7 linked regions of the Cricetulus griseus genome follow. The protein of the gene in region 1 interacts with the protein of each later gene in a biochemical or structural test. Links are inferred from orthologs where the notes say so. Each region holds a gene or a part of one and is shown on either strand. Other genes may lie near its edges. The genes, in order: Ep300, Stat2, Notch1, Rela, Junb, Fen1 and Sirt2.

The links.
Region 2: the proteins of Ep300 (region 1) and Stat2 form a complex in vitro, tested with the Homo sapiens proteins (3 studies listed by BioGRID). The link is inferred for Cricetulus griseus from reciprocal best matches to the Homo sapiens genes EP300 and STAT2.
Region 3: the proteins of Ep300 (region 1) and Notch1 form a complex in vitro, tested with the Homo sapiens proteins (2 studies listed by BioGRID, with this or other methods). The link is inferred for Cricetulus griseus from reciprocal best matches to the Homo sapiens genes EP300 and NOTCH1.
Region 4: the proteins of Ep300 (region 1) and Rela form a complex in vitro, tested with the Homo sapiens proteins (6 studies listed by BioGRID, with this or other methods). The link is inferred for Cricetulus griseus from reciprocal best matches to the Homo sapiens genes EP300 and RELA.
Region 5: the proteins of Ep300 (region 1) and Junb form a complex in vitro, tested with the Homo sapiens proteins (2 studies listed by BioGRID, with this or other methods). The link is inferred for Cricetulus griseus from reciprocal best matches to the Homo sapiens genes EP300 and JUNB.
Region 6: of the proteins of Ep300 (region 1) and Fen1, one has a biochemical effect on the other in vitro, tested with the Homo sapiens proteins (2 studies listed by BioGRID, with this or other methods). The link is inferred for Cricetulus griseus from reciprocal best matches to the Homo sapiens genes EP300 and FEN1.
Region 7: of the proteins of Ep300 (region 1) and Sirt2, one has a biochemical effect on the other in vitro, tested with the Homo sapiens proteins (3 studies listed by BioGRID). The link is inferred for Cricetulus griseus from reciprocal best matches to the Homo sapiens genes EP300 and SIRT2.

Annotation. Positions count from the first base shown.
Region 1 is NC_048595.1:378,772,561-378,776,622, forward strand, and holds part of Ep300 (histone acetyltransferase p300), read left to right. Parts: coding exon 1-88; intron 89-549; coding exon 550-978; intron 979-1,955; coding exon 1,956-2,135; intron 2,136-2,271; coding exon 2,272-2,416; intron 2,417-4,062. UniProt on the Homo sapiens protein: Functions as a histone acetyltransferase and regulates transcription via chromatin remodeling. Acetylates all four core histones in nucleosomes. Histone acetylation gives an epigenetic tag for transcriptional activation.
Region 2 is NW_023276806.1:129,600,724-129,605,455, reverse strand, and holds the start of Stat2 (signal transducer and activator of transcription 2), read left to right. Parts: upstream 1-1,462; 5' UTR 1,463-1,628; intron 1,629-4,732. Other genes in the region: Apof (apolipoprotein F), read left to right, coding at 47-958. UniProt on the Homo sapiens protein: Signal transducer and activator of transcription that mediates signaling by type I interferons (IFN-alpha and IFN-beta).
Region 3 is NC_048599.1:137,892,307-137,897,051, forward strand, and holds the start of Notch1 (neurogenic locus notch homolog protein 1), read right to left. Parts: upstream 3,160-4,745; 5' UTR 2,908-3,159; coding exon 2,847-2,907; intron 1,266-2,846; coding exon 1,187-1,265; intron 1-1,186. UniProt on the Homo sapiens protein: Functions as a receptor for membrane-bound ligands Jagged-1 (JAG1), Jagged-2 (JAG2) and Delta-1 (DLL1) to regulate cell-fate determination.
Region 4 is NC_048596.1:53,704,260-53,708,321, reverse strand, and holds part of Rela (transcription factor p65), read left to right. Parts: intron 1-47; coding exon 48-179; intron 180-972; coding exon 973-1,077; intron 1,078-1,256; coding exon 1,257-1,469; intron 1,470-4,062. UniProt on the Homo sapiens protein: NF-kappa-B is a pleiotropic transcription factor present in almost all cell types and is the endpoint of a series of signal transduction events that are initiated by a vast array of stimuli related to many biological processes such as inflammation, immunity, differentiation, cell growth, tumorigenesis and apoptosis.
Region 5 is NC_048596.1:159,386,026-159,390,240, reverse strand, and holds Junb (transcription factor jun-B), read right to left. Parts: upstream 2,706-4,215; 5' UTR 2,407-2,705; coding exon 1,369-2,406; 3' UTR 869-1,368; downstream 1-868. UniProt on the Homo sapiens protein: Transcription factor involved in regulating gene activity following the primary growth factor response. Binds to the DNA sequence 5'-TGA[GC]TCA-3'.
Region 6 is NC_048596.1:50,251,889-50,255,655, forward strand, and holds the end of Fen1 (flap endonuclease 1), read left to right. Parts: intron 1-1,113; 5' UTR 1,114-1,132; coding exon 1,133-2,275; 3' UTR 2,276-3,072; downstream 3,073-3,767. UniProt on the Homo sapiens protein: Structure-specific nuclease with 5'-flap endonuclease and 5'-3' exonuclease activities involved in DNA replication and repair.
Region 7 is NC_048602.1:7,082,015-7,085,467, reverse strand, and holds the end of Sirt2 (NAD-dependent protein deacetylase sirtuin-2), read left to right. Parts: intron 1-1,651; coding exon 1,652-1,722; intron 1,723-1,837; coding exon 1,838-1,904; intron 1,905-1,995; coding exon 1,996-2,151; 3' UTR 2,152-2,660; downstream 2,661-3,453. UniProt on the Homo sapiens protein: NAD-dependent protein deacetylase, which deacetylates internal lysines on histone and alpha-tubulin as well as many other proteins such as key transcription factors.

The sequences.
Region 1 (4,062 bases):
CCTCTCTCAAACTCAGTTTCCATCTCAAGGAATGAATGTAACAAACATGCCTTTGACACCATCCAGTGGTCAAGCACCTGTTTCTCAAGTATGTTTTTACTATTTAAATTTATTTCTTAGTGTGCATATATGCACATACAGGACAACAGTATATGTGGGCTGTTCTCTCTTTCTACCCTTACATAGAGTCTGGGGATTGTGCTCATGTTTCCAGGCCTAAATGGCAAATACTATTTCCTACTGATACTAGTGTGGCATCCAATGATGTTCAAAAATAGTTTATTTCTAACCCTGTATGATTTTTAAAGGTACCCTCCTTTTTTCTTTGAAAACTATGATTGTGTCCAGGGCTGCACACTTAATTTTGTTCCTGGAGACAGAGACAGGTGGATGGATATCTGTTAGATCAAGGCTAGCCAGGTCTATGTAGTGAGACCCTCATCTCAGAAATAAAGAAGTTTGCTACTGTTATTTATTAATAACTACTGTGTGCTCTAAATACTACATGACCTGCTTTTGTTAATACTGTATGTTTTTTCATTTTACCAGGCACAAATGTCCAGTTCTTCCTGTCCAGTGAACTCTCCTATAATGCCTCCAGGGTCTCAAGGGAGCCATATTCACTGTTCCACTCTGCCTCAACAAGCTCATCAGAATTCGCCTTCTCCTGTTCCTAGTCGTACCCCTACTCCTCATCATACTCCCCCAAGCATAGGGACTCAGCAACCACCAGCAACAGCAATTCCAGCTCCTGTTCCTACACCTCCTGCCATACCACCTGGACCACAGCCCCAAGCTCTACACCCCCCATCTAGACAGACACCAACACCACCAACACATCTTCCTTCCCAAGTACAACCTTCAATTCCTGCTGCTCCTGCTGACCAGTCCCAGCAACAGCCTCGATCACAGCAGAGCACTGCAGCTCCTGTTCCTACCCCAACAGCACCACTGTTGCCACCTCAGCCTTCAACTCCAGTACGTAAGCAGATGTGTCTTGGAGTGTCCATAGGACCAGTTAAGCTCCAGTGATGTTTCTATACCATTTTTTCTTTCACTTTTGTTTCATCTTTGCTTGTTTTATTCATAGACTTGGGTGTTTGTTGCCTGTTTTTGCTTCCTTTGGTAGAGAAAGCTAGAAGATTTTGGTTAATTTTCACTGACCATTCTGTTTCAAATGATTATCTGAGGCCTGAAAGCTATAAGAGTTTTATCAATGCTTAGTGTAACACATACACATGTACTTGTTTAAAGATATTTTGAGGCAGAGGCAGTGAGATCTCTGAGTTTGGGGCCAGCATGGTCTAGAAAGCAAGTTCCATGGCAGCCAGAGTTATTACACAAAGAAACCCTGTCTCAAAAAACAAAGCAAGGAAAGAAGGGGGGCAGGGGTGAAACAGCTTAAGTTGCAGTGCTGAAAAATGAAAGTAAAGACCTATGTGGGGTACATCGATTTTACACACACACACACACACACACACACACACACACACACACACACGAGAGAGAGAGAGAGAGAGAGAGAGAGAGAGAGAGAGAGAGAGAGAGAGAGAACAAACTATAGGAGTTAGTTCTCTTCTGCCATTTAAATACCAGGGATCAAACTCGGTTGTCAGACTTGATAGCAGGTGCCTTTATGAATGAGCTATTACATAGTCCCTGATGTCATTTTTTTAATATTCTGAGCCTCTCTGATATAGTCAACTTTAGAACATCCACCCCTAAACACATAACAAAAAAGCTGGTAACTGTTTCAAGTAAAGCTAGCCAGCTAGCATTGGGAAGTCCCATATCATCCATTCTTAAAATGATCTTTGTGAGAGAAAACATAATAATAAAATGGGTTCAGTGAGAGTGCCCCAAATATAAATAGCCTTGTGTAATTTAAATTTAAATTCTGATTCCATGATTGGCAAGCTTTTGTGTATGTGTATGCTTTACCTTTTTCTCTCCAGCTTTCTCAGCCAACTGTAAGCATTGAAGGCCAGGTATCAAACCCTCCATCTACTAGTAGCACAGAAGTGAATTCTCAGACCATTCCCGAGAAGCAACCTTCACAGGAAGTAAAAATGGAGGTTAAAATGGAGGTGGATCAACCTGAACTAGCAGATGCTCAACCTGAAGATACTCAGGAGGTGAGACTAGAGCAATTAGGTTCTGCTATAAAAGGAAATTCATGTATGTCCATAATGGAGCGTAAATAAGGTGATAATGGTCTTGTTCCCAGGTGTAAGTCTTTGAATTTTTTAAAATTCCTGTCTTATATTTTAGGCTAAAGCTGAAGATGTTAAAGTGGAACCTACAGAAACAGAGGACAGAGGCACTGAGTTAAAACCTGAAACAAAAGAGGAGGAAGACCAGCCAAGTACCTCTGCTACGCAGTCCTCCCCAGCTCCTGGACAGTCAAAGAAGAAGAGTAAGTGAAGGCTGGGAAGATCATTCATTTGGTAAAATGCTTGCCCCATAAACAATAAACATCTGGATTTGTTTCCTAGCACTTGTATATATATCCCAATGCTTAGAAGGCAGAGGGAAATGAATCTCTGAATTCAAGGACAGCCTTGTGTACTACATAGCAAATTCCAGACAAGGCTGAGGTAGACAGTGAGACCTTGGGCATTTTGGCACACCTATAATCCAACCACTGGAAAAGTTAGAGGCAGGGGGATCACTGGAGCTTGCTGCCTAGTAAGTTGAGATCTTGGAAGGACATAGGGTTCTAGCAGAGGATAACAGAGAGTGGAGAGGGTCAAGAGTGCTGAACCGAGACTGAAGAGATGACTCAGGTTTAATTTCACGCACCCACATGGCAGCTGACAGCTGCCATAGTATACGACACCATCACACAGACATACATGGAGACCAAACACCAATGCACAAGAAATAAAAAAAATTATAAACAAAACAGTATTTAAAACTGTTCTTATAGAGGATCCAAATTCACTGACCAGCAGCCATATGGCAGCTTATAACCACCTGTAACTCTAGTTCCAGGGACCAAACACACTCTTCAATCTTCCTCAGGCTCCAGCACACACACACATTTTACATAATTTTAGGTAATAATACTAACACATCATACTAACACATAAGATGAAGTATCAAAAAATGTTTTGTTTTGGTTTTTTTGGGTTTTTTTTGTTTTTTTTTTTAAAAAAAGGTCATTGACCTCTGAACAAAAATACCCACCCAAGGTTGATCCTTGGTTTACAAACACAGGCTCATGCATGTATGTGCACACACATACACGTATACACATACACCAGCCGTGCTGGAAAGATAAGTGATAAGTCCTATAAATTGTCCTTTGTCCTCCATAAAATGCCTTGGCATATGGGCATTTGTACACAAATGCACAAAAGATAAATAAAAATGTAACTTAAAAATTTTGGTTAGGGGCTGGAGAGATGGCTCAAAGGTTAAGAGCACCGACTGCTTTTCCAAAGGTCCTGAGTTCAATTCCCAGCAACCACATGGTGCCATCCTCTATGAGATCTGGTGCCCTCTTCTGGTGTGCAGATATACATGGAAGCATAATGTTGTTAAATAAAATCTTTTAAAAAAATAAAAATAAAAATTATGGTCAGGTGGTGGTGGCTAGAACCTTTAGTCCCAGCACTCCCGGAGGCACATGTGGATCTCTGTGAGTTCGAGCCTGGTCTACAGAGCGAGTGCTAGGCTCCAAAGCTCTACAGAGAAACCCTGTCTTGAAAAACCCAAGGAGAGAGGGGTGGGGTAGATCAGGTCTCAATTCTAAATTGTTAAATATTGGTGTCATTAATAGAGCCCTGCCTTTGGTGATTGGTTTAGATTTCATTGTATGGTTCTACTTATTTCTCAACAGGGACTTACTATGTAGCTTAGACTGTCCTTGAGATCTCTCTGTATCCCAGCCTTACCTCAAAGACCTTCGTTCTTCATCCTGCCTAGTGCTGGTAGTGTAGTCACGCCTACCACAGCAGCTCATAGAGGACATTTTCAGTTGTGTTGAACACCTCTCTTACACTAACATCTTTTGGATGGTTACTTTGATAAGTTTCTTCTGTGTTCTTAGGAGTCTGA
Region 2 (4,732 bases), on another chromosome or scaffold:
TGCATGTTTTGGGGTTTTCCTTTTTCCAGGGTGCTCTGCTCCAGACATGCACAGCCTGCGACTCCTGATGATGGCAGTTCAGCTGCTCTGCTGCCTCCTGCTGTGTCCTGTGGATGCCGTTTCACACAGAGAGCCAACAAGTCCCTCTGCGATGCTCCCTCCCTTGGCGTTGGGATACCAGTTGCCCTCCTCAGACCCCTTGTCCTGCCAGGTCCTGCTCCCAAAGTCCCTGCCTGGCTTCACTCACATGCCCCCTCTCCCCAAGTTCCTGGTAGGCCTGGCTCTGAGGAACGCTCTGGAGGAAGCTGGCTGCCAGGCTGATGTCTGGGCTCTGCAGCGGCAGCTTTACCGACTGGGAGGTGTGGAGGCTACACAGGCCCTCATCCACCATCTCCAAGAGCTCCAGAAAGGTGGACTTGAGGACCAGCAAGTGTCGGTAGACGCCTTATCTTCTGCTCTGCAGCTCTTAGCCTGGGAGCAGCCAGGTCCAAAGAGGGTCCCACGCTCTCTTTCTAACGCAGCCTGTGACAATGAGCGGGAGCAGAGTGTGCACAGTGTGGTTGGGCTGCTGCCGGCAGTGGGGACCTACTACAATCTAGGCACAGCATTGTACTATGCCATTCAGAACTGCTCCGACAAGGCCAAGGAGCGAGGCAAAGAGGGAGCCTTAGATCTGGGTTATGACCTTTTGATGGCCATGGTGGGTGTGTCAGGGGGGCCGGCTGGTGTGGTGATAAGTGCTACTCTTAAGCCAGCATTGAAGGCTGGGGTTCAGCAGCTGATCCGATATTATTATGACGAGAAAGAGGTGAGCCTCTCTCTGCCGGAGACCGTGCAGGAAGACCGTGACTTCGAAGAAACAACCATGACTACTTTGGTGTCAGAAGTTGAAAGTACATTTTCCTACTGGGACCAAGCCTTGGAACAGGACTACAGTATCTGGGCATACAAGAGGTAGTAACAAACAACAAATAAATGGAAAATTCTGACAGAGAAGGAGTAGTATAGATGGATGGATGGGTTTGGGGTATTGTCATCACTTGCCAGTCATTTCTTGAAACTCAGTTTTTTATGTTTCTAATGAGGGAGTAGTGAGTTTTCACCTGAACAAGTGGTTATGGAAATTAAAAACTGATAACACGATCCTATGGTATTTATCATTATGTCCTCAAAAATATGTGCCTCGGCTCTTCCCTCCCTACCTAAAGTATCGAAATGCAAGTCCCACCCCTTCTGCGGAGTCCTTGGTGCCTCTGCACGCTCTGGTTTCGTTTCCTTTTCCTGGGAGTGCAGGTTCGGGAAAGTCAGCTGCTTGAATTCTTGGGTATGACATTAGTTGGGTTCCGCCCCTCTGGGAGCCTCTTCGCCAAACACGGAGCTCGGCGGTGTGGTTTCCAGCAGCTCGCCCAGCCCGGTGGTGGGCGGGGCCAGGACTCCGCCAATGAGGGCGTGACGTGGGAAGGGCGTGGGCGAGCCTCAGCCAGAGCCCGGAACGGCGAATCCGTAGGGCCCGGTGATCACGGTCTGGGTCCGCCGAAGTCAGGGGCGGGGTGGGGTTCTTGAGCCGCCCGGAGGAGTGGAAGTTGCCGCGGGAGCCACTGGGAGGAGCGGCACCGGAGCCTCAGAAGGTACAGGCCCGGAGAGCGTGTGCGGAGCAGGGAGGCGTGAGTTCGATCTCGGGAAGGGCCACTGCCCCCGGGATGCCCCTGTCCGGGATGTCACACCCTCGCTTTGCTTTTACTTTTCAGCCCTGTCGACCTTCTTCCAAAACTCCTCCGCAAACCCTGAAGCCTGGCATGCAGCATTTGACCCTTGTCATAAGCCAAAGCGTTATCTGTCTATCATCTGTTTGTTATTTAATTTGTAAGCATGCTTTGTCTGTGTGCCACATCCGTGCAGTGCTTGTGTTGGTCAGAAGAGGTCGTCAGATCTGGGACTGGAATGCTGGTCATAAATTGCCATGTGGGAGCTGGGAATCGAACCCAGTGGGGTCGTCTGGAACAGCAGCCAGAGCTCTCACCCGCTGAGCTGTGTTCCCAGCCCCTTTGCATAATATTTTATCCTTACCAAAATAAATAAATAAATGAAAACACGGACATCCTTATTTGTTATGTATGTATATATGCATATATACATACAATCAAATATATATATCAAATATATATACAAATATAAACTGTAAAGTCCTGGGAGATGAAACTGCTTGCTTAAGGTTACACACACAGTCTAGTTTATTTCAGAAAATTTTATTTAGTGTAAAATTGAGAGGGTGAAGCTAGAGAAAGCACTTTGCAGCTCCCATAACCGCAGTACAGTCCACTTAGGAAGACTTGTTTGTTTTGAGGCAGGGTTTAGCCCTGCCTGTCCTGGAACTTGCTGTGCAGACCGGGCTGGGCCTCTGCTTCCCCAGTGCTGGGATTCAAGGTGTGCACCACCACAGCCAGCAACTTTTTTTTTCTCTTATGTTTGGTTTCTTATTTAAATCTCAGAATTTACTTGTTCCCTTGCTTGGATACTAGTCCTTTAATTCCTGAAGAACTGGGATCTTGTCTTTAAAATGATGTTTGTTTGTTTGTTTTTTGAAGCAGGGTTGGTTTCTCTGTGTAGCTCTGGAGCCTGTCCTGGAACTAGCTCTTTTAGACCAGGCTGGTCTCAAACTCATAGAGATCCACCTGCCTCTGCCTCCCAAGTGCTGGGATTAAAGACTTGTGCAACCACCGCACAGCAATGTTTTTGTTTCTTAAAAGCAATACAGGCGTGGTGGTGGTGGTGCACACCTTTGACCCCAGCACTCTTGACACCTTTAACACCCAGACAAGTGGATCTCTGAGTTCAAGGCCAGCCTGGCTACAGAGTGAGTTCCAGAACAGCCAGAACTACACAGAGAAACCCTGTCTGGAATAAATAAATAAATAAATAAATAAATAAATAAAAGAGTCAAATACCTGTCTGATGTTGTAGTTATGTAGTTCAGCTAGAGCATTCACAGAGCACAAGAGAGGTCCTCTGTTTGATCTCCAGCAAGGGGCGGTCAAGGATTATTATTAGAAAGCTAAAATGAAAAATTGGCTCTTGGTGGGTGGAGAGACAGCTAAGTGGCTAAGAGAGCTCATTGCTCTTGCAGAGGACTGGGGTTCAGTTCTGAGCACCCAAACTGGGAGACTCACAACATCCTGAAAGTCAAACTCCACAAGCTCTTATGTTTTAAATTAACCCATTTATATTCCTTTACTTACTGCCGTGCAGTTCATGTGTTGTTACCTCATTTTGTACACGTCCTGTTTCCTCTGCATCTGGCTGGCGACTCCTAAGACTCTTCCCTTCTTTCCAGCATTCTCCTAGTGTGGCTCTCCTGCCCAGCTATAGGCCAGTCAGCTCTTTATTAACCATTGAGGGTAATACATATTCACAGTGTACAAAAACTGATTGATCCACAGGCTGGAGAGATGGCTCAGTGGTCAAGAGCACTGACTGTTCTTCCAAGAGGTCCTGAGTTCAATTCCCAGCAACCACATGGTGGCTCACAACCACCTTGAATGAGATCTGGTGCCCTCTGCTGGCATGAAGGCAGAAGACATAATAAATAAATAAAACCTTTAAAACAAAACAACAACAACAAATGATCCACAGCAGCCCTGCCTGACCTAAATTCACTATGTAGCTGAGCCTGCCCTTAATGCTCCTGCCTCCAACTGCTAAGTGCTGGTATTACAGGCATGTGCCACCAGGCTCAGGTCTTGAAAGTTACTAGTAAACAAAAAGTACTACATATGACAACTATTTAATAGTATTCCCTGGAAAAACTAAAGTAAACTGTAATAAGAACTATCTTTAGAGAGAAAGGACAGAAACCAAAACCGAGAATAGAAGCAATGTAATCTGTATCTTGTTTTTTTTTTTTTTTTTTTTTTTTTTTTTTCAAGACAGGGTTTCTCTGTGTAACAGCCCTAGCTGTCCTGGCACTCACTCTGTAGACCAGGCTGGCCTCTAACTCAGAGAAATCTGCCAGTCTCTGCCTCCCAAGTGCTGGGACTAAAGGTGTACACCACCACAGCCCGGCTATTTTCTGTGTCTTTTAAAGATTCTTTTTATGTTTTTGAGTTTTGTGTATATGTATGTAGGCATACCACCTAAGTGCCTGATATTCTCAGAAGTCTAAAGAGGGCATCCATCCAATCGATCCCCTAGGAATGGAATTTAGCGCCACGTGGGTGTTAAGAATCAAAAACTCCTCCTCTAAAAGAGCAACAAGTGCTCTTAAACACTGAGCCAAGACGGGCGTTGGTGGCCCACGCCTTTAATCCCAGCACTCGGGAGGCAGAGGCAGGCAGATCTCTGTGAGTTCGAGACCAGCCTGGTCTAAAGAGCTAGTTCCAGGGCAGGCTCCAAAGCCACAGAGAAACCCTGTCTCGGAAAAAAAAAAAGAAAAACCCAAAAAAATAAAAACAAACAAACAAACAAAAAACTGAGCCAAATCTCCAGCCCCTTTTCTGTATCTTTTAATTGTATAATTGAAACATTTTTTTTTCCAAGACAGGGTTTCTCTGTGGCTTTGGAGGCTGTCTTGGAACTAGCTCTTGTAGACCAGGCTGGTCTAGAACTTATAGAGATCCACCTGCCTCTGCCTCCCAAGTGCTGAGATTAAAGGCATGCACCACCAACGCCAGCCTAATTGAAACATTTTAAATTAGAACAAAAGTTACATAGTCAGACTTGGAGGCTTATGCTGAAA
Region 3 (4,745 bases), on another chromosome or scaffold:
CATTAGTGTCTGACAGAGGCACAATCGGCTTTGTCCAATAAACTGCTCACAGACCTGCTTAATTGGCTTCAGTACAGGGCGGGCCGGCCAGGGAGGTGGGGCTGCGGCCCACAGGCTGGGTACTGTAGGCAGCAGCACCCGTTGTCAAGGGGATGGGCCCTTCAGCAGTTGGAATGAGGGCGCGCCATGCAGGCTGGAGCCGTTTCTGTCGGCAGCTTCCAGGGGAGGCCTTAGCCTCCAGCACCTTGCTAGTCTCATCAGGGAGGAGCTCAAGTTGAAGGGCACTAGCCCTAGCCCTAGCCCTAGCTCCAGCCCCAGTGGAGACTTCTCCTGGCTGACTGGTCTTTGTGGGCAGCCAGGCAGGGATCCTTCCCAAAAGGATTTCCCAGCAAGGAACAGACCTTCCCACCCCCCCAAGTCACGCCCATTTCACAGCTGAGGACCTGAGGCTGAGGACCTCTGGCATAGAGTCGGGAGGTGGTGCTGCAGCTGCCAAGAGAGAAACCAGACTCCAGTGCTTACCCACACCCACCACCCAGGCAGCAGTGCCAACAAGCACCGTTCCAACTCTCCCAACCTCACCTTGAACCCAAGGAGAAAGGAGGGGTGGGTCTCATCTTAAAACAGACACTTCCCACCAGCTAGTGGTGGCATTCCCACTTGGAAGGCAGAGACAGGCAGATCTCTTGAGTCAAAGGTCTCTGCATAGTGAATGCCAGGGCTGCCAGAGTCACATAGTGAGACCCTGTCCCAAGAAAGCAAAAACTAGAAACAAACAAACAAAACAACAAAAAAGGGGCAACTTCCTGCTTATTGGTCTCCTGCCCAGAAGAGGGCTCCCAGGTGTCAGGGGGTGGGGCTCAAACTCTCAGTAAGTGCTCCAGACTGCCCATCAAAGACAACGGTTTCTCAAGCATTTTAAATAAGAATTAGGGTACCATGGATTCCCAGGAGCCTGAGGGGGCCCATGGAGGAGTGTGCCAACCTCCAGGGGCCAGAGTAGCTCCACACGAGGCATAATTGCTGGTGATTAAGTAATTGCCAGACTTTGTCCAATAAAAGTCAGCACGTGACTGCACTCAGCCTCTGGGCTGTCTTCTGAAGACAATGGCCCAGTGTTCTGTCCCCAGAAGGCAGGGGCTCTGCTCTGACAAAAGCAACAGGTCCCCTCGGGGGCGGTACTCACACACAGGCTTCGGTGCCGTTGGCCACTTCGCACCTCCCTCCATTCAGGCAGGTCCCACTTGGCTGGGAGCATCTCAAGCCTAGGGAAGGGTCAGAAGAGAGGTCAGTCTGGGTTCTGAGCAGCTGACTCCTTGTGGTCCTGATGGTGGATGAAGACTACTGCCTTGGTGCTTGTGTACTAGAGTTACTGGAAGTCGCCAGGCGGGGGTGGTGACAATGGGCAGCCCTTCGGGGATCAATGTTCTGCTCGCACTGTTGCAGTCAGAAATGGGTGGAAGAGGGATAATAAGCTGGGTAGGAGGCAGGTGTACATCCCCACTCACTAGAAGTGGACCGCAACAGAAAGAACTGAATGACTTGGGACATTCTAAACTTCTTACATACACAGCCAAAAGTGGGTGTGGATTAAGAAACCCAGCAAAGCCCCCGATCAGTCTCCCACCCTTGCCTCAGTTCAAACACAAGATACGAGGGGGCTGCAGGAGGGAGGGGGCGGCCACACTCAGCTCCCCCGATCGTGGGAAAAAGCGACAGCTGCGGAGCCCGCCACCCCGCCCTCCAACAAAGCGCCGGCCCGGGAATCAGAGCGGCCCATTGTCGCGCCAGGGCCGCCTCCTGGGGCAGCGGGGCCGCACCCGGAGACCTGCCCCGCCTCCTCCGACACCCAATACCTGTTCGCAGGCATCTCCAGGGGCAGCCCCCGCCGCACCCAGGGAGGGGGTCTTAGAGCCCGCACTTGGAAGGAATTCTACCCTCTTCTCAGGAAAGGGCTCTTAATCAAGCCCCTCCCACCCCCATCTTAAGGAGCTCCAGAAATTAAGCCCTGGTGTGAGGGCCGAGCTGGAGTGTCACATAAAACCCACTTTTAAGAGAAGGGCAGGCACTTCTCCCCTCCAATTACTGGGAGACGGGTGCAGTTGGTCACTACGAGACTCCTCAGGAGTCCCCCTTTCTGTGAATCCTGCAAGGAAATAGGCGGTCCCCCGGCCCCCCGGCCCCCCGGCCCCCCGGCCCTCCCCGCAGGTTCCAGTCTCTGCCTGAGCAGGAGTCTCAAACTTCCAAAGTGAGTGAGTCCCACCCCAACCCTAAGCAGCAAGCCGCCTGCCCATAGCCCCTCTTTGAAAGTTTGAGTACCGCTAGGGGACAGCGATCCCGAAACTGGGCACTGGGAGTCCAGGGCACATCGCCCCCACCTCGCGCTAAGCAAGGCGAACACAGAGCCCCAACATCCGCCCAAGCACAGACCAGAGGCGAAGAAGAAAGAAAATAATAGTCCCAAGAAGCAACAGGAAACCAAAACCGATTCGATTCAAATCGAAAAGTAGCAGGCGCAGGCAGCCTGTCCGCCCCCGCGGCGAGCCCCAGGCGCGGCTGCCCAAGTGCGAGCCAGGGTTGAGCCTCCCGGGGCCCCGAAGTCCCAAGCTCCACACCGAGCTTCCAACATTTTCGGGCGTTCTGGGTAAAGCGAATCCACCCGGAAGGGGGGCTGAGGAGAAGGATCTCCCTCACACGCGAGGACGCCAGGCCCCCAAGTCCCGTCCGCCGGCTCCTTCTCCCAACTTTGGTAGCTGGTGCCCTCACTCCCATCCACCCAGGGCGCGCGCAAGGCGCAGCCGAAGTTTCCGAAGGGCGCGCGAAGTTGCGGGCTCGCAGGCGCCTACCTCTTGCGGCGAGCGCGGGCAGCAGCGTTAGGCAGAGCAAGGGCGCCAGAAGCCGCGGCATGCCTGCTCGCCCGCTGCCCGCTGCCCGGGCGGCGGCCTCTTGCGGTGGCCGGCGGGGATCGGACGTTTACGCTCACCACCGGCGGTCCCGCGGGCGTCCACCTACTGCTGCCCTCTCCTTCCTGGCAGGTGGGCGGCGCTGGGCTCTCAGGGTCTCCCCAGCGCTACGAGGCACCCCGGGTCGTTCCTTCACTGCGCTCGCACCCGCGCCTAGCGCCCGCGCCCTGCGCCCCACGCCCCTGCGCTCCCTCCCGCGGCCGAGGCACTAGTGAGGCTCAGGGCGGCCGTGCGCTCCGCCCCCGTGGGGGCCCGCCCCTGCCCCGCCCATCCCACCGCGCTCCGCCCCCGGTTTTTGAGCACTCAAAGCCCCTTCGTTGGCCCTGTCCCTCCCAGCGCCCTGGTGGGCTCTGCGCCTTCTCGGGCTAGAGAGAGCGTCCCAAGCCAGGACCCTGTGGTTTGCAAGACAAGGAAACATGCAGGGGTGTAGAGAACAGGCACTTAGGGACTACTTCTTGTTCGAAAGTTTACAGAGACCAAAAGTTTGAGCTGGGGATGCGGAAGGATCAGGCTTTGTGTGTCGCCTCCCTCGGGACCTTTTGGCCAGGATTTGCATTTCAATAGCCGAAGAGATTTGGGCTGAGTAGGAAAGGCGAAGCTGCCACGAGAATCGGGTCCATCCTGGAGCTAGGTCTGGGCCCAGGGCTAGGAGCAGCTGAAGCCAAGTTTGGGGAACTCCCGGAGCAGGATTTTAGAAGTTGCTCCCTGACTACGTTGGGTGCATCCCTGGCCCTGGGGTCCCACTTTTGGGAGCCTTTGGTCTCGGCTTTAGGCATCTGGATGATTGAGGCCAGGCACCCCTAGCCGCGACTTCCGGAACGCTTGACCTTAAAGGATAATGTCTTCGCGCCTGCAGCCTCTACAGAACGGAGCTCGGGGCTCCCCAAGGGAACTCCCCAAAGGGCCAGTGCCTTTCTGAACAAATTGCGCTCTCGCTCCCCAGAAGGAGTCTAGACGCTCCATTGTCACTCTTTTCACTGGTTCCTGGCTCTGCCCATTTAAGGTGACCCGGGAAAGTACAGAATCCCAGTACAATAACTGCTAACACCAGCACAGCCTCTCTCACGTGCTTTTCTTTGACCAGTTATCTCTCCACCTTGGTGCTAGACTTGGACATCCTGTGACAAGCTGATTAGCTCTGGGTGTCCAAGATGCCTTCCTTGTCCCTGTGCAATCAAAGTTCAATGGAATCTGGAATGGACAGCACCTCTCCATCCCTAAACAGGATGGTGAGTGCAACACAGGATACAGCCCCAGCTTATATTATCCAAGGAGGCTCTCAGAGCAGGGGAATGCATAAAGGGGCCTTAAATGCTTGCTGGAACCTGGCAGGAGAATACTGAGACAGGAAAGTCAAAGGAATTTGGGAATTCAGAATTTGGAAGGCAGTCCTTGCCCAGGGATACAGAAGTGTGCTCATTTCTCCTGCAGCCCTACCCATTGCCCTTGACACACCTGTTTCTAGAGGGCACTCAAGAGGGCCAATGCAGACCCATTGTCCAGCCCCCTCTCCTGCTCCTTTCAGAAGCTGGCATCAAGTGGGTGTGTGTGTAACAGCCTGGGGCCAGTACCCAGAAGAAAAGGCGCCCAGTGCTGCAGAAATATTTATATAACAGATCTGCAGCCCCAGAGAGCAGTTTCCATAGAAGGAAGGGCTGGCTAGCTGTGCAGAGTTCACAGACTTAAAACTCTGCAAGTGCCTCTTCTGAGATGGTCTCTGAAGACCTCCGGCTGCTGGGGTGTGTGGCAGCTATATCCCAGCCTTGCCAAGATAGGCCACCC
Region 4 (4,062 bases), on another chromosome or scaffold:
GCTCCCTGCCCTCCGTGACTCCCCTCATCCCTCTGTTTTTCTGACAGTTCCTATAGAGGAGCAGCGTGGGGACTATGACCTGAATGCAGTGCGCCTCTGCTTCCAGGTGACGGTGCGGGACCCATCAGGCAGGCCCCTCCGCCTGACTCCTGTCCTCTCTCATCCTATTTTTGATAACCGTGAGTGGCCGCCTCTAGTAAGGGGAAAGGGAGGGTCTGGAAGAGAAAGGGGGCTGGAGTGGGTGTGACCTGTGAAGAGTGCTCTGGTTCCCTTTAGTCCTCCAGTTATGCTGGCAGGGGACAGGGCAGAAAGGACCCAGAGCTGCCCTCAATTGGAAGCTTCCAGGATGCCCAGCAGCCTGATGGGAAGTGGCTGTTTTCCATATCTTGTGTAGAGATGCTGGTCTGCCAGGAACTGTGCTCATGACTTTAGGAAGCAAACTCCCAGGAACCAGATAATGCTAGGCAGTGATAATTCCACAGTAGCAGCTCACAGGAAGCTCTCAGATGACCTGGGCTGACACTGATGGATTAGTAAGCAGCAGGGCAATTGAAAATAAAAGGCCTTTGGAGCCCCAAGGACCGGAAACCAGGATTAACTGGGAGTGAGGAGGGAAAGACTCATTGCCAAGGGTAGAGATGAACCAAAAGCTGAAAATGTGTTTGATCAGGCAGAGGGAGACAAGGTGTCAGATTGTTTCCTTTGGGCTGTAAGGTCTGTGAGGACAGGAATACGTTGGGCTCTTTGTTGCTCTGCTGCCTTTTCTAGAGCCATGCTCCACACACACAGCAGGAGGTGTTTTTGAATTGGTTGAGGTGAAGAGCAGATGGGATTAGTCTGCAGAAGTGTTGTCAGCAAGCTGTGGAAGGAAGACCTTGACATGGGACTTGCCAGGCATCGCTGTTACATCTCCTGTCGGGTGCCCTGGAGACCTGTGGTGGCTCAGGGTTTCCATCCATGTCACATCCTCAGGTGCACCCAACACTGCTGAGCTCAAGATCTGCCGAGTAAACCGGAACTCCGGGAGCTGCCTTGGTGGGGATGAGATCTTCTTGCTGTGTGACAAAGTGCAGAAAGGTACACACTGGGCTATGTGTGCCACGAGGGGCGGGGTGAGGCTGAGAGGGTGATGAGTGCCAGGGACCTCAGTGGCTTCAGGAGAAACAGGGTGACGTCTCAGGGGAAAAGCATCAGGAGTTGGGGACCAAGGTCCATTGGAATTCAGATACTAACCCTTACTACTCTGTCTCCTGCAGAAGACATCGAGGTGTATTTCACTGGACCAGGCTGGGAAGCACGAGGCTCCTTTTCTCAAGCTGATGTGCACCGGCAAGTGGCTATTGTGTTCCGGACTCCTCCATACGCTGACCCCAGCCTGCAGGCTCCTGTGCGTGTCTCCATGCAGCTTCGGCGGCCTTCTGATCGGGAGCTCAGTGAGCCCATGGAGTTCCAGTACCTGCCAGACACAGGTGTGATGCTAGGGAGAGCAGTACCAAGGCTTCTGTACCCCAGCTGGGAAAAAGACCAGGATGTCTGGGACAAGCACATAGGATTTATACATACTGTAGTTCATTGCACATAGTATTTCTGTCAAAGACCACATATGCCATGGTGGTCATATAACACTGCGCTATCTAGCTGGGCAGTGGTGGCTCACCCTTAATCCCAGCTCTCAGAAGGCAGAGGGAAATGAATCTATGAGTTCGAGCCCAGCCTGGTCTATAGAGCTAGCTCCAGAATAGCCAAGGCTACACAGAGAAACTCTGACCTGGGGGAGGGGGGTGAGGAACTACACTGTCTAATGACATAGGTGTCTTAGTTTGTGTAAGTAATCTTTGAGATGCTCATATAAACAAAGAGAGAGAGAGAGAGAGAGAGAGAGAGAGAGAGAGAGAGAGAGAGAAAGAAAACCAGGGCTGGAGAGGTGTCTCAGAGGTTAAGGGCACTCTTTGCTCTTCCAGAGGTCCTGAGTTCAATTCCCAGCACCCACACACATGGTTGCTCACAATCATCTATAGTTGGATCTGGTGCCCTCTTCTGGCATAGGTCCTATGTGCAGATATAGCACTCATATTCATAAAATAAATCTTTAAATTTCAAGAAAAATAAAAAAAAAGGTAAAACCAGCACCTGGGAGGCAGAGGCTAGCAGATGGATCTCTGTGAGTTCTAGGCCAGCCTGGTCTACAAAGTGAGTGCCAGGATAGGCTCCAAAGCTACACAGAGAAACACTGTCTTGAAAAACAAAACAAACCAAACAAAAAAGATGAAAAAGATGCTCATATAATAAGCTGGGTACTCCAGCAAACGTGTGTAGCTAGCGTGCAGATGGTGTGGAAATAGACGGACCTCTAGAGCTATTTGGCCAGCCAGCCTTGCTCCAGATTCAGTGAGAGGTACTGTCTCAAAAAATGAAGTGGGCTGGACATGGCAGTGCACACCTTTAATCCCAGCACTTGGGAGGCAAAGACAGGCAGATCTCTGTGAGTTCAAGGCCAGCCTGGTCTACCTTACAAGTTCCAGACCAGCCAGGGCTATATAGTGAGATCGTATCTCAAATAATTAAGGTGGATGGGGCTGGAAAGATGGCTCAGTGGTTAAGAGCACTTGCTGTTCTTCCAGAGAACCCAGGCTTCATTCCCAGCACCCTGTCTAGTTCCACGGGATCTGACACTATTCTGAACTCTGCAGGCACTGGGCATGTACAAGGTGCTCACACATATAAGCAGGCATTGAGCCTTGGCTTTGACATACTCATACACACATCTGTACACACATGCATGCACATTCATACACCTACATGAACACACACACACAGACACACACACAGAGGTAATAATAAAATGGATATTCATCCAATGACAAATTTGCCTAGCAACATGTCTTAAGATGTGTCCCCATTGTTTTTTTTTTTTGAGGGGGGTGTTTGAGACAGGGTTTCTCTGTGGCTTTGGAGGCTGTCCTGGAACTAGCACTTGTAGACTAGGCTGGTCTCGAACTCAGAGATCCACCTGCCTCTGCCTCCTGAGTGCTGGGATTAGAGGCGTGCGCCACCGCCACCACCACCACTGCCAGGCTGTGCCCCCATTGTCAAGCAACATATAATTATAGTCATAATCTATTTCTTCCCTAACTCTGACATCCAACTTATTCAGCTCTGTCTACTGTATCTACCCTTCCTATGAGTGGTCCTTTTAACCTCTCATCGCCTTTTTTGTTTTTGTTTTTGTTTTTTTTTTTTTTTTTTTTTTTGGTTTTTTGAGACAGTGTTTCTGCTCTGAAGACCAGGCTGGCCTCACAGAGATCCGCCTGCCTCTGCCTCCTGAGTGCTGGGATTAAAGGCCTGTGCCACCAATGCCTGGCGTATCATCACCTTTTTAGGGGAATGATTTAACAGAATTCACTAGCAGTAGAGGCAGTGGCACACCTAAACCAAGGTCACTTAGCTTTGTGGACTTTGTGCCACCTTGTGTCTCTTATCACTTTTGGGGGACCAAAATAGTTCCATTATAGAATGTTTTGAGGTCCAGCCTCTGGTTTCACGGAAAGCTCCGGCCCACTATTGTATTGCTAATGCTAGCAGGTCTGCTATTGTTTACAATAGCCTTAGTATAGAATGCCTCCTAGTTTGCATCTCTATGGGCCTAAGCATCTGAATAGGCCTGCATCTGGGCCTAGGTGCTAGGTGTAAGGTACAAGTGAGGACAGACAGGAGCCATCCGACCAGAGAGGAGAACAGAAGGACAGCAGTGGTCTCCTCGTGGCCATGGAAGCATGGTTAAGAAACAGCCAAAAAGATGGTAAATAGAGAAGAGACTCCAGTTTTACAACATGGAACTGAGAGCTCTCTAAAGATGACAAGATGCCTGTGTTTGGTCTTTATCGAGGCTGGGTTGCTAGGAGTTTCCAGGTCCACACATCCCCACTCAGGCCGAACCTCATGGCTTAAGGCTGAGACATGCCAGGTCACCACAGTCACTAATCCTATAACCCAGCTTCATTTTGCTCAAGGATTAGTGCTATACATAACAAAACAAATGAGACAGGAGCTGGAGAGATGGTT
Region 5 (4,215 bases), on another chromosome or scaffold:
CCCGAGTAGCATGGTTTTCTTCGCGATGGGGTCCTCCAGCTTCAGGACCAGCGAGGTCCCCCCCAGCTCCAGCAGCTTTGAACTTCAGTCTCAGCCTTTGGGGAGCGGCCCGGCAGGCACGAAAGGCTGCGGCGGCGCCCAGCGGCCCAAACAACTGCCCCGACAGGACCAGACCTGGCAGTCGCCAACTTCTGGCCTGGCACACGGGAGGGGACCCTGGCAGGCGGGCGCCGCCCTTCCTGGCGGGAGTTGCCCCGACGGCGGCGTCTGCACTCCGCCGCCCGCCCCGCCGAGGCCGCAGTTGGGCTCCGCCAGGGTCAGGTCCCATGGAGGGGGCGTGGGCGCGGCGGGTCTCCGGCGCCAGCCTGTTGAGAGACGCTCGGGTGGCTCCCAGGGCCCAGGAGAGCGTAAGTCTCCCGCCGCGGGCACCCTGGACCCAGGCCTGGGGCTTTCCGCGCCCCGAGAGCCGCCCGCCCGGGAAAATCCCGGCCCCTTCCCGGCGCCGCGGCCCTGCCGGGCAGAGCTGGGGGAGGGGATTCCCGGAATCTGCCCGGAGACCGTGCTGGCGTCACTGAGCAGAATAGGCCCATATATGGGCATCGCTTCCGGCGCGTCAGCGGGGAAAGCCCCGACGCGCTGGGCTGGGCGGGGCTGCTTACACATTCCGCGTTTGGTCCCGGGCGGCTTCTTCCCGGCTGTGGCCCGCCTGCCCCGCGTCGGGTGCCGGGGCGCGGCGTGAGAGGTCTGCGTGCTTGCACTGGACCTTAAGTCACCTGAAAGGAGGGAGCTACGAAAGCGGACGACTGGGGGCATCCCGTTCTTCTCCCTCCACCCGCCCGGCTTGGAAGAAAAAAAAAGACCACAGAAATTAATAAAGACAATTTTTTTTACTTAAATAGATTCAATAAAAAGTCAAACACACACACACACACAAACACATCTTAAAATAGACTCTAGACACGAAGTGCGTGTTTCTTCTCCACAGTCCTGTGCAGAGGGGGAGGGCAGGGGGCGGAGGTCCCTCCCTAGTGTCCCGGCAGGCTGAGTACCAGGCGGCGGGGCCAGCTCCGCCGCGATAGCGTAGCCCCCTTCTCCCTCCCTGTTAAATACACAAATATATTATATTCAATATGAATCCGGTCTCTTCCCAGAAAAAAAAAAAAAACATACAAAATACGCTGGAAGGGGGGGCCATGTAAACGTCGAGGTGGAAGGACTGGGCGCAGGCGAGCGAGCCAGAGTCCAGTGTGTGCGCGGCGCTCCAGACCTCCGGGCCGGTGCCCATCGCCCGCCCCCCTCACCCCAGGGGGGGGCGGGCGTCCAGCCTTCCCGGCCGGGGTGTCCGTGCGGGGCGAGCGAGGGAGGCGCTCAGAAGGCGTGTCCTTTGACCCCCAGCAGCAGCTGGCAGCCGTTGCTGACGTGGGTCATGACCTTCTGCTTGAGCTGGGCCACTTGCTCCCGGAGAAGGCCGGCAGTACTCGACAGCCCCGCATTCTCAGCCTTGAGCGTCTTCACCTTGTCCTCCAGGCGCGCGATGCGCTCCAGCTTCCGCTTCCGGCATTTGGTGGCCGCCAGCCTGTTCCGCAGCCGCTTTCGCTCCACTTTGATGCGCTCCTGGTCTTCCATGTTGATAGGGGACACCGGCGGGGTGGCGTCGCGGCTGCGTGCCTCTGGTACGGTCTGCGGTTCCTCCTTAAAGGCGGAGGCGCCGCGACCCAAGCCCAGCTGTGCCGGGTGGCCGCCCGCAAAGGGTGGTGCGTGTGGGAGGTAGCTGATGGTGGCCGTCGGGTACGAGCTCCCAGTCCCGACGGCGGCCCCGGCGCCCCCAGAGGGTGCGGAGGCTGGGGAGTAACTGCTGAGGTTGGTATAGACGGGGGGCGGCTCTGGACCTGCGTAGACGCCCCCTGGCCCGGCCTGGGGACCCCCGCTGGCGCCCAGGGACACGTTGGGGGGCGTCACGTGGTTCATCTTGTGCAGGTCGTCCAGGGCTTTGACAAAGCCGTCCGCGAAGCCCTCCTGCTCCTCGGTGACGCCGCCCCCTGTGCCTCCACTGCTGCCACCCCCACGGGGGTAAAAGTACTGTCCCGGAGGCGTGGGCGTCGTCGTGATCACGCCGTTGCTGTTGGGGACGATCAAACGCTCCAGTTCCGTGGAGGCGAGCTTCAGAGACGCGCCTGTGTCTGATCCCTGACCCGAAAAGTAGCTGCCTGCTGCCCCGCTGCCCTCTGGGCCCGGGCCGCGCGCTCCCGGGCCCTTGAGACCCCGGTAGGGATCCGTCAGGTTGAGTGCCAAGGTGGGTTTCAGGAGTTTGTAGTCGTGGAGAGACAGGCTGCCAGGGGTCCGACCGTATCCCGCCGCTGCGTATGAGTCGTCGTGATAGAAAGGCTGTTCCATTTTCGTGCACATCCGGGCGGTCTGGGAAAGGTCCCCCTGAAGGGCCGCCCCAGGCCTCGCTGCTGCGAGCGGCGAGCTGTCCTCGGCTGCGGCGGGACCCGGTGTCCGGTCGCGCGTCCTCGGGAACTGGAGACCGCCGGCGGCGGCCGGTTGGCAGCTGTGCGTAAAAGCGTTGCCGGGCTTCCAGACCTCGTCTCTGCCTCTGTGGTGCGCCCGCTTTCTCGGCGTCGCTTCCTTCAGTTCCCCGCTGCCTGCAGGATCCAAAACCGGCCCGGCCACCCTCAAGGTCCCCACCGCGCTGCCCCAGCCCCAAGCTTTTATACCGAGTTTGTCAGCTGCGGAAGTGCGCTCTGATTGGCCAACGCGGGAACCGGGCCCCCGCGGCCCCCTCCTAGAGCGTGGGGAAGGGGAGGAGGCGGCTCGCGTCACTGTCAGGAAGCGCGTGTCCTTGTAAACAGCGGCCACGAGCCGGGTGGCTCTGCGCGGCTGCAGGGGGAGGGGCTGCAGCGATGGAGACGCCGAAGCAAAGGGATGTGGAGGGGCTGAGGCACACGGGTTAGGACTGCGGGAGTACACCTCGGTGACTATGAGAGCTTGGCACAGCAAGCAGGGAAGGGGGCGCCGCGGGATAAGCCGGAGAAGTCTCGAGAGACCCAGAGTGCCTGTAGCTGAGAACTGACAATATGCTAGAAGACCCCAAGCAAGCAGGAAAGGGAGGATCGGGAGGGATCTGTTAACATTTGACCCGGGGATTGACTGGAGGTCCCAGATACAAAGGGCTTGAAAGACTGGAATTGTCACAGGTTGGAGGAAGGGGCGCCTGTTGTGCAAGAACAGTAGGGTTCTAGAGGCCGTTGATGAGTCTGAGGGTTCTCCTATAGGCGGAAATGAGAAGGAAATGCGGGGAGGGCGACGTAGATATGCAAAGGTGAGAAAGGGTCCTGGGTGCACTGAGGTAATACAAGAGGTGGAGGATGGGAACATGTCACTGTGGCCACCTGAAGAATTCGGATGTAGAGTTAGAAAGGTCAGGGCACAGCTTCCGAGCTTTGAGATCTGCTGGGGAGGATGATCCCAGAGACAAGGGACCTGTACGAATGGGGCTGTACCTCGTGGGTGGTCCTTAGGCACCTGCATACCCTGTACTCCAAGCCCAAAGTCCTCCCTTAGTCACTCTGGGCTCACCCGATACCCTGTCAGCTCTTGGAGAGCCGACGGGGCAGGATAGCTGGGGCGCGGTCGCCCAACCTCACTCCCTTCCTTAGAAACAGACTAGGGAAAGAGAGCCGAGGCAGGAAGTGTGGCAACAGCCCCGAGGGGAAAAGAGCCCGGCCCTGTCTCGTCATTCTGAGCCTACAGGACGGTGCACCCTGCCCTGGGCCCTGCCAAATTCTGCTCCTGGGAAGAGGAACCGGGGCAAGCGACCCCCGAGGAAGTCACAGCCCAGCTACAAACGCCTCGAGTCACTCTCTGCTCTCACCCATCTAGTAATGGTTCAGCCTGCAGCCTCCGACGACTACTAAGCCTGGCAGCCCGAGGACTGTTCCATTGACCCTGGGGGGGGGAGATGCAGCCTGAGAACCGGGCCTCATCACCAAGGCAACAGGCCGGAGTCCGCGAATTGGATTCGGGGCGGGGCAACCCCCCTCAATTTCTCCCCAGCATCCATATTAGGGCACAGGAAGAGGTGGGACCAGTACAGTCTTGGGGCGGAGAACTAGGAGCCAGGAACTCAGGGTGGCAAGCCAGGTCCCAGGGCGCGCCCGGGCCCCCCAGACGGCTAGTCCGGACCAGCCTCGACTGCCATCCCCGAGGGCCTCC
Region 6 (3,767 bases), on another chromosome or scaffold:
TTTAATCCTGGCCCTCGGGAGGCAGATAGACTTATCTCTGTAAACTTGAGGCCAGCCCAGTCTTCAGAGCGTGTTCTAGGGCAGCCAAGGCGGTTACACAGAGAAATCTTGTCTCAAAACAAAAAAATTGTTAAAAGCCAGGTGCACGTCTTTAATCCCAGCACGTGGGAGGTAGAGGCAGGTAGATCTCTGAGTTCAAGGTCAGCCTGGTTTACAGAACTCAGTCCACAAAGAAACCCTCTCTCAACACCCCCACCCCACTTTCCAGCAAAGGCATTTGCCATAACACAACTAGTCCTTCTCCCCCCTTCTTTTATTTTATTTTCTTTAAAGTCCATTTAAATAAAAATATTCAGTGAAGGAAAATTCTATTTCAGTTGGAAGGGGCAAAAGTTGTGAGTGTAATTTTGGAAACACTGTCCGAGGAGCAATTTGATCCTTGAAGTCTTGAACGACAGAATTACAGTATTGGGCTGTGTGATTTCAGCTTGCCAGCCCTTAATTCAAGACCTGTGGTGGCATCATGAGGTTCATGTTTCAGAATTAGTGGTGGGGAGGACGTACAAAGGATTTAAACCTCCTCCAGCATCCTGCTAAAAACAAACTCTTAGGTGCTGAAGTGGGGAGGGATAGCAGTGTGTGAGATGGTCACCTGACCCTCATTCAGAAGCGTGTCCTTCAGGGCTGCTACATCAGTTAGATAACTGTAGAGCACAGTAAGTCATACATAGCCAACTTTGCGTAGCTGGTATTTCCAGGCTCTCGAGGGCTCACTTCTGCCTTTATGGTCTCAGGCTCCTTCAAGCCAAGCCAAGCATTCTTGTTTTCTATGGTCCTGATGCAGTTGAAAGTTGAAGTCATTCTTTGTGTGACAAATTGTACCGTTGTGTTGTTCTTAGGAGGCCTGCTCGTTAATTGGGTGCGCTGTAGATGTCTTGAGAATGATGGATGTATGTGTTCACCTTTGCATCTTCTTCTGCTTTGCCGACTTGGAGTCCTGTTGTTTTCATGTTAAATTTGATTAAACATGAAGTTAAACTGGCGATTGCTGCCAGTTAGAGCCTTTGTTCCTTTTGCCCTCCATGACCCACGTTTTTCTTGTCTTTGTTTTAGCCATCGCTCCTGTGTTACCATGGGAATTCAAGGCCTTGCCAAACTAATTGCCGATGTGGCTCCCAGTGCCATCCGAGAGAATGACATCAAGAGCTACTTCGGTCGCAAGGTGGCCATTGATGCCTCCATGAGCATCTACCAGTTCCTGATTGCTGTTCGCCAGGGTGGGGATGTGCTGCAGAATGAGGAGGGGGAGACCACCAGCCACCTGATGGGCATGTTCTACCGCACCATCCGCATGATGGAGAATGGCATCAAGCCTGTGTATGTCTTTGACGGCAAGCCACCACAGCTGAAGTCAGGCGAGCTGGCCAAACGCAGTGAGAGGCGAGCTGAAGCTGAAAAGCAGCTGCAGCAGGCTCAGGAGGCGGGGGTAGAGGAGGAGGTGGAGAAGTTCACAAAGCGGCTGGTGAAGGTCACCAAGCAACACAATGATGAGTGCAAACACCTGCTGAGTCTCATGGGCATCCCGTACCTTGACGCACCCAGTGAGGCAGAGGCCAGCTGCGCTGCCCTGGTGAAGGCTGGCAAAGTTTATGCCGCAGCCACCGAGGACATGGACTGCCTCACTTTTGGCAGCCCTGTACTAATGCGACATCTGACTGCCAGTGAGGCCAAGAAGCTGCCCATCCAAGAGTTCCACCTGAGCCGCGTCCTGCAGGAGCTGGGTCTGAACCAGGAGCAGTTTGTAGATCTCTGCATCCTGCTGGGTAGTGACTACTGTGAGAGTATCCGGGGCATCGGGCCCAAGCGGGCTGTGGACCTCATCCAGAAGCATAAGAGCATCGAGGAGATCGTGCGGCGGCTGGATCCCAACAAGTACCCTGTTCCAGAAAACTGGCTCCACAAGGAAGCTCAGCAGCTCTTCCTGGAGCCTGAGGTGCTGGACCCAGAGTCTGTGGAGCTGAAGTGGAGCGAGCCAAATGAAGAAGAGTTGGTCAAATTCATGTGTGGTGAAAAGCAGTTTTCTGAGGAGAGAATTCGTAGTGGGGTCAAGCGGCTGAGTAAGAGCCGCCAGGGCAGCACCCAGGGCCGCCTAGATGATTTCTTCAAAGTGACTGGCTCACTCTCCTCGGCTAAGCGTAAGGAGCCAGAACCCAAGGGGCCTGCTAAGAAGAAAGCAAAGACTGGGGGAGCTGGGAAGTTCAAAAGGGGGAAATAAAACGTGTCCTCCCCCTCCATTGTCCCCTGACCCCAGAATGTTTGCTTTGTGCCCTCAGCTAGAACACTCCTCTTGTGGAAGAGCCTGCTCCGTCCCAGAACTGCCCTTCAGAGCCTTGCCTTTCATACTTGGTCTTGTGGCAGGAAGGCCACAGCTTTGCTTTTCCTCATTTTTAGCTCAGGAATGATGTCAAACCACTTCTCAGGCAGGTTAATGGACACTGCATCCATTGTTGTGTGAAACTGAAAGCAACACATTATAAAAGGAGGAGGAGATAAAGATGGCTTGGGGTGGGAGTGTGGGGAGATAATTTCCTGGCTGGTCAGCTGGTGAATGGGAGTTGACAGTAGACCTTGACTGCTCTTTCTGATTTCTCTAACCTGAAAGACAGCCATCAGCCCAGGCTTTGCTGATGGAAGACCTGCAAAGAAAAGGGGCGAGCAGAGGAGGTTGGCTGACAATGGCTCTAATTCCTGACTGGCTGTCTTGTGGACACAGCAAGTTTAGGTTTCTGGTGAGTCTACAGTAACTTCAGAGCAGTGAAAAAGCAGTGTTTTAGGTTTTGAATTGTAGTTTTGTTTTTGTCCCATTCCCCTCTCCAGTGCTGGGAATTGAACCCAGGGCAAAGCAAGCAAGCATACCACTGACCTGTAGCCCCAAGAGACACTGTTCCAATGGCCTTTCTGAGGCAATCAATTGAATTGAGGTTTTGAGAGAAGCTGTTGTTCCTGTGCTGTTTCTGTTTTAAAAGATGCGAAGAGAAAAAAAAATCAATAAAAGTACAAAAGTGACCAGAATGTGGTGTTCTTTGAGGATATTTGAAAACACCCTTAGTGCTTCCGGTTCCTGTAGAATATAATGATCTTTTGCCACTAAAATTAGATGACAGGCTGGGATTGCCCTGGTTAACAAGTAGTTTGTTTAATAAGAGTGACCACAAAGTGGCGCCATACACCATGTAATGTGGGCACAGCAGCTGTGGTTGGCACCAGCCCTTTGCACTTCAGGAGTTTGAATGCCTAGACTGGATTTCTCTTGTTCCACCTAGTCTGTGAGGTAAAGGAGTCCATTTGGACAGTCTTGTAATTTAGATAAACTTTGTCATAACATCCAGGCAGTTTGTTTTGCCACTTGGTGAACAGATGCCATTTAGAAACCTTGCTCCTATTGAGATTTCAGGTTCTCAGGATGACTGCAAGTTTTAGAGTACTGGTGCATTAGGTTTCTCTTGAGGAACCAAGTAGATAGAATGAGTTCTATATATTGAAAGGGGTTCATTAGAGGAGCTTACAGGCTGTGTCCAGTTAGTCTAACAATGGGTGTCTGGTAAAAAGGCCAAGAATTTAGTAGTTGAGTCCACAAGGGATGTTTCAGCTGGTCTTCAGTCTACATGAAGGCTCACAAAGAAGCAGGTTCTAATACTAGAGAAGGAATGCCTCAGGGACACTGAGGGTGTACAGGCAAAAAACAGAAGCTTCCCTCCACATCCTTT
Region 7 (3,453 bases), on another chromosome or scaffold:
AGGAAGGGGTGTTGCCTGCCTGTGACACAGGTGCCAGGAGACACAGTCACTTCATGTGCCACAGCTTTTTGTTATAGTTTGTTTTTCTGTTTTGTTTTTTCAAGACAGGGTTTCTCTGTGTAGCCCTGGCTGTCCTGGAACTCACTCTGGAGACCAGGATGGCCTCGGCATTACCATTCTAGTACATGTCACATATCAAGAGCTAGAGAGCCTCAAGTCCCTCCCTCCTATGCAGTGGCCAATTGTTTGTATGGAGCCCACACATCCTCCTGATTTGCTAAGCGATGTCTGCCTGGTTTGTGGTGGGACACAGGGTTGAGCTCTGGCTCTCATGAAGCCTGTCCTCTCAAACTCACCATGTAATGACGGATGGCCTTGAACTCCTAGTCTTCCTGCCTCTGACTTCCAGATTCTAGCAGCTGGCTATGTTATTTAGTTGGGGGGAGCTTTTTGTTATTGTTTGTTTTTCTGTTTTGTTTTGTTTTTTTTCAAGACAGGGTTTCCCTGTGTAGCCCTGGCTGTCCTGGAACTCACTCTGGAGACCAGGATGGCCTCGGACTCAGAGATCCATCTGCCTCTGCCTCCCGAGTGCTGGGATTAAAGGTGTGCGCCACCACCACTGGCTTTGTTTTGTTCTTTCAAGACAGAGTTTCTCTGTGTTGGGCACTCGCTCTGTAGTCTAGGCTGGCCTCAAGCACAGAGATCCATCTGCCTCTGCCTCCCGAGTGCTGGGATTAAAGGTGTGTGCCACCACCAACCAGCAAATGTTTAGAAATTTGATATCACCATGTCCCACCTCAGCCAGCAACTGCTGACAATACAAAAAGAGAGGTGACCAGAGGTGACGTGTTTGGTGGATGGAAGGAAGGCTCTGGGAAAAAAAGCTCAAATCAAATGATAACACCCTCCAAAACAGATTCTGATTAAATGTATATGACAAATCTCAGTTGACAGGAAACACAGGGGACAAAAGAACACATGAAATCACACAAGAAGGCATGGTGGCATGTTTTTGCAATCCCATACTGGAGAGACAGATTGGTGGATCCCTGGGGCTCACTGGACAGCCAGTCTCACAAATTGCAAGTTCCAGGACAATTGAGAAACATTGTCTCAAAAGGAATATGCTTGAGCTGGGGATACAGCTCAGTGGCAGAGTGTTTGCCTAGTATACACAGAGACCTGGGTTCAAGCCTCTGCACTGCCAGAAAAAATAAATAAATAACAATGGTTTTGGACAGGAAAGATGGCTCAGTGGTTAAGAACACTTTCTGTTCTTCCAGAAACCTGAGTGCAGTTCCCAACACCCATGTCAGGTAGTCACAACTACCTCTAACTCCAGCTCCTGGGAACCTGATGCCCTCTTCTATCCTCTTTGAGCACCTACATACAAAGGGCACACATACAGAGACATACACACAACTACATACACTTAAGAAATAAAAATAAGCCGGGACGGTGGTGGCCCACACCTTTAATCCCAGCACTTGGAGGCAGAGGCAGGTGGATCTCTGTGAGTTTGAGGCCAGCCTGTTCTACAAGAGCTAATTCCAGGACAGTCAGGGCTACACAGAGAACCCTGTCTCAATAATAAATATTAGCCAGGTCTGGTGGCTGCAGGGCCATGCTCTTAGCTGTCCTCTCCCCACAGACAGATCCCTTCCTGGGCATGATGATGGGCTTGGGCGGTGGCATGGATTTTGACTCCAAGAAAGCTTACAGGTAAGGCCTGGGCTCTGGTGGTGGAGAGAGCTTGGGGAGAGCAGGCTGAGGTGGGAGAGAAGACAGAAGGCTGGTCAGGCCTCAGCCCATTCTCTAACTGCTGCTCACAATGCAGAGATGTGGCCTGGCTTGGTGACTGTGACCAAGGCTGCCTGGCCCTGGCTGACCTCCTCGGATGGAAGGTGAGGAACTGGGCCACCCCAGCCCACCCTGAGCCCAGCCCCATGAGGATGTATGGTAACCTCTGACTTCTGTGACCTTTGCCCCCTGCAGAAGGAGCTGGAAGACCTTGTCCGGCGGGAGCATGCCAGCATAGATGCCCAGTCAGGGTCACAGGCCCCTAACCCCAGCACTGCCACCTCCCCTAAGAAGTCCCCCCCTCCAGCCAAGGAGGCGGCCAGGACCAAAGAGAGAGAGGAGCACCAGTGACCACTACCTCCCAAGCAGGACAGTGGAGCCCAGCCAGCACTGGTCCCTCTAACATGGAGCTGGTGTGGGGCTCAGTAGATCCTTCATTCTCTTAACCGCTTTCTTGAAACCAGGGTCCCCAACTCAATCCCAGAAAGTTCTAATATACCTGAGGGCTGAGGCCTGTGCAGCCCACAGCCTCTAACCACCCAGGGCTAACTCCTAACTACTTCCAGAGATCAGGTTACCCCAAAACTCCTAACTGTGCCAGAGTGCTCTCAGGGGGTTGCTGTGGCTAAATCTAATTAACCTGCCCCAATGGGGGCTGAACTTCTCTAGTGAAATGTAACTTCACCCAGGGGGTGGGGCCTGTGGGATCCCTGAGCCTGAAGGCCTCCCAACTCTCGGCCTCCAACAGACAAAGTGGGTGCTGGCCTCCCTTTCCTAGGGTCCCACTTGCCAGCCAGTGGGGGATGAGCAGGAGACCTTGTTTATTGGAAACACATTAAAAAACAAAACAAAACAACTAACCATGAGCTGTGTGGTCTGTGCGGGTACCAGCAGCAGCTGTGGGGAGGGGAGGGGTCCGTAAAGACACCAGACCAACAGTCTGTGGCTCCAGGATCCTAGGATAGTGGAGGGGGCAGGGGCAAGAGGATGGCCCCTGAGGACGGTGGTCTGGTGACTTTTCACCTTGGCTTTTGGCCTGCCAGAGGTCCACTCCTCCAAAAGGGGAGCCCTTAGCTGATCCCCGGAAAGGGAGAGGAAGGTGATAGCAGACGCCCCCAGCCCCGCCTCTTCCCTTGCATGTCGGCTTCCTCTCTAGAGAACACTTTCGCTTCCTGCTTTGCAGACTCCCCTCGGAACAGGTAGGGCCCCCAGGGACCCAGCATCAGGCTTCTGCACCCACAGCAGCCTCCATGCCACCCTGGCCAGCACCACCCATGTCTGGATCTCCTCCCAAGGGTCCTGGAGGGGAGGAGCACCTGCCTTCCCCTCTCCACCCAGACATGTGCCTATCCTGCCCCCCTGACACTGAAGCCTCATGTCAGCGGCTAATTGATTTATATTACTTTTAATTATCTGGCTTGCACACAACACCCTAACAGAAGTGGAACCTTCTGGAAAGGGCTAGCCCACTTATCAGCCCTCCTCCCAGGCCAGTCACCTAATGCTGGGCCTATGCTGAATAATTCATGTGGACAGATGGGGGGTTGGGGAAAATATTCAAAAGGGCTCACCCTGAGCTGAGAATCCCTTATAAGGCTGCCTTCTTGGTGAAGAAGACAGGGTATAGTGTGGACGCGTTGGCACCTGCCTGTG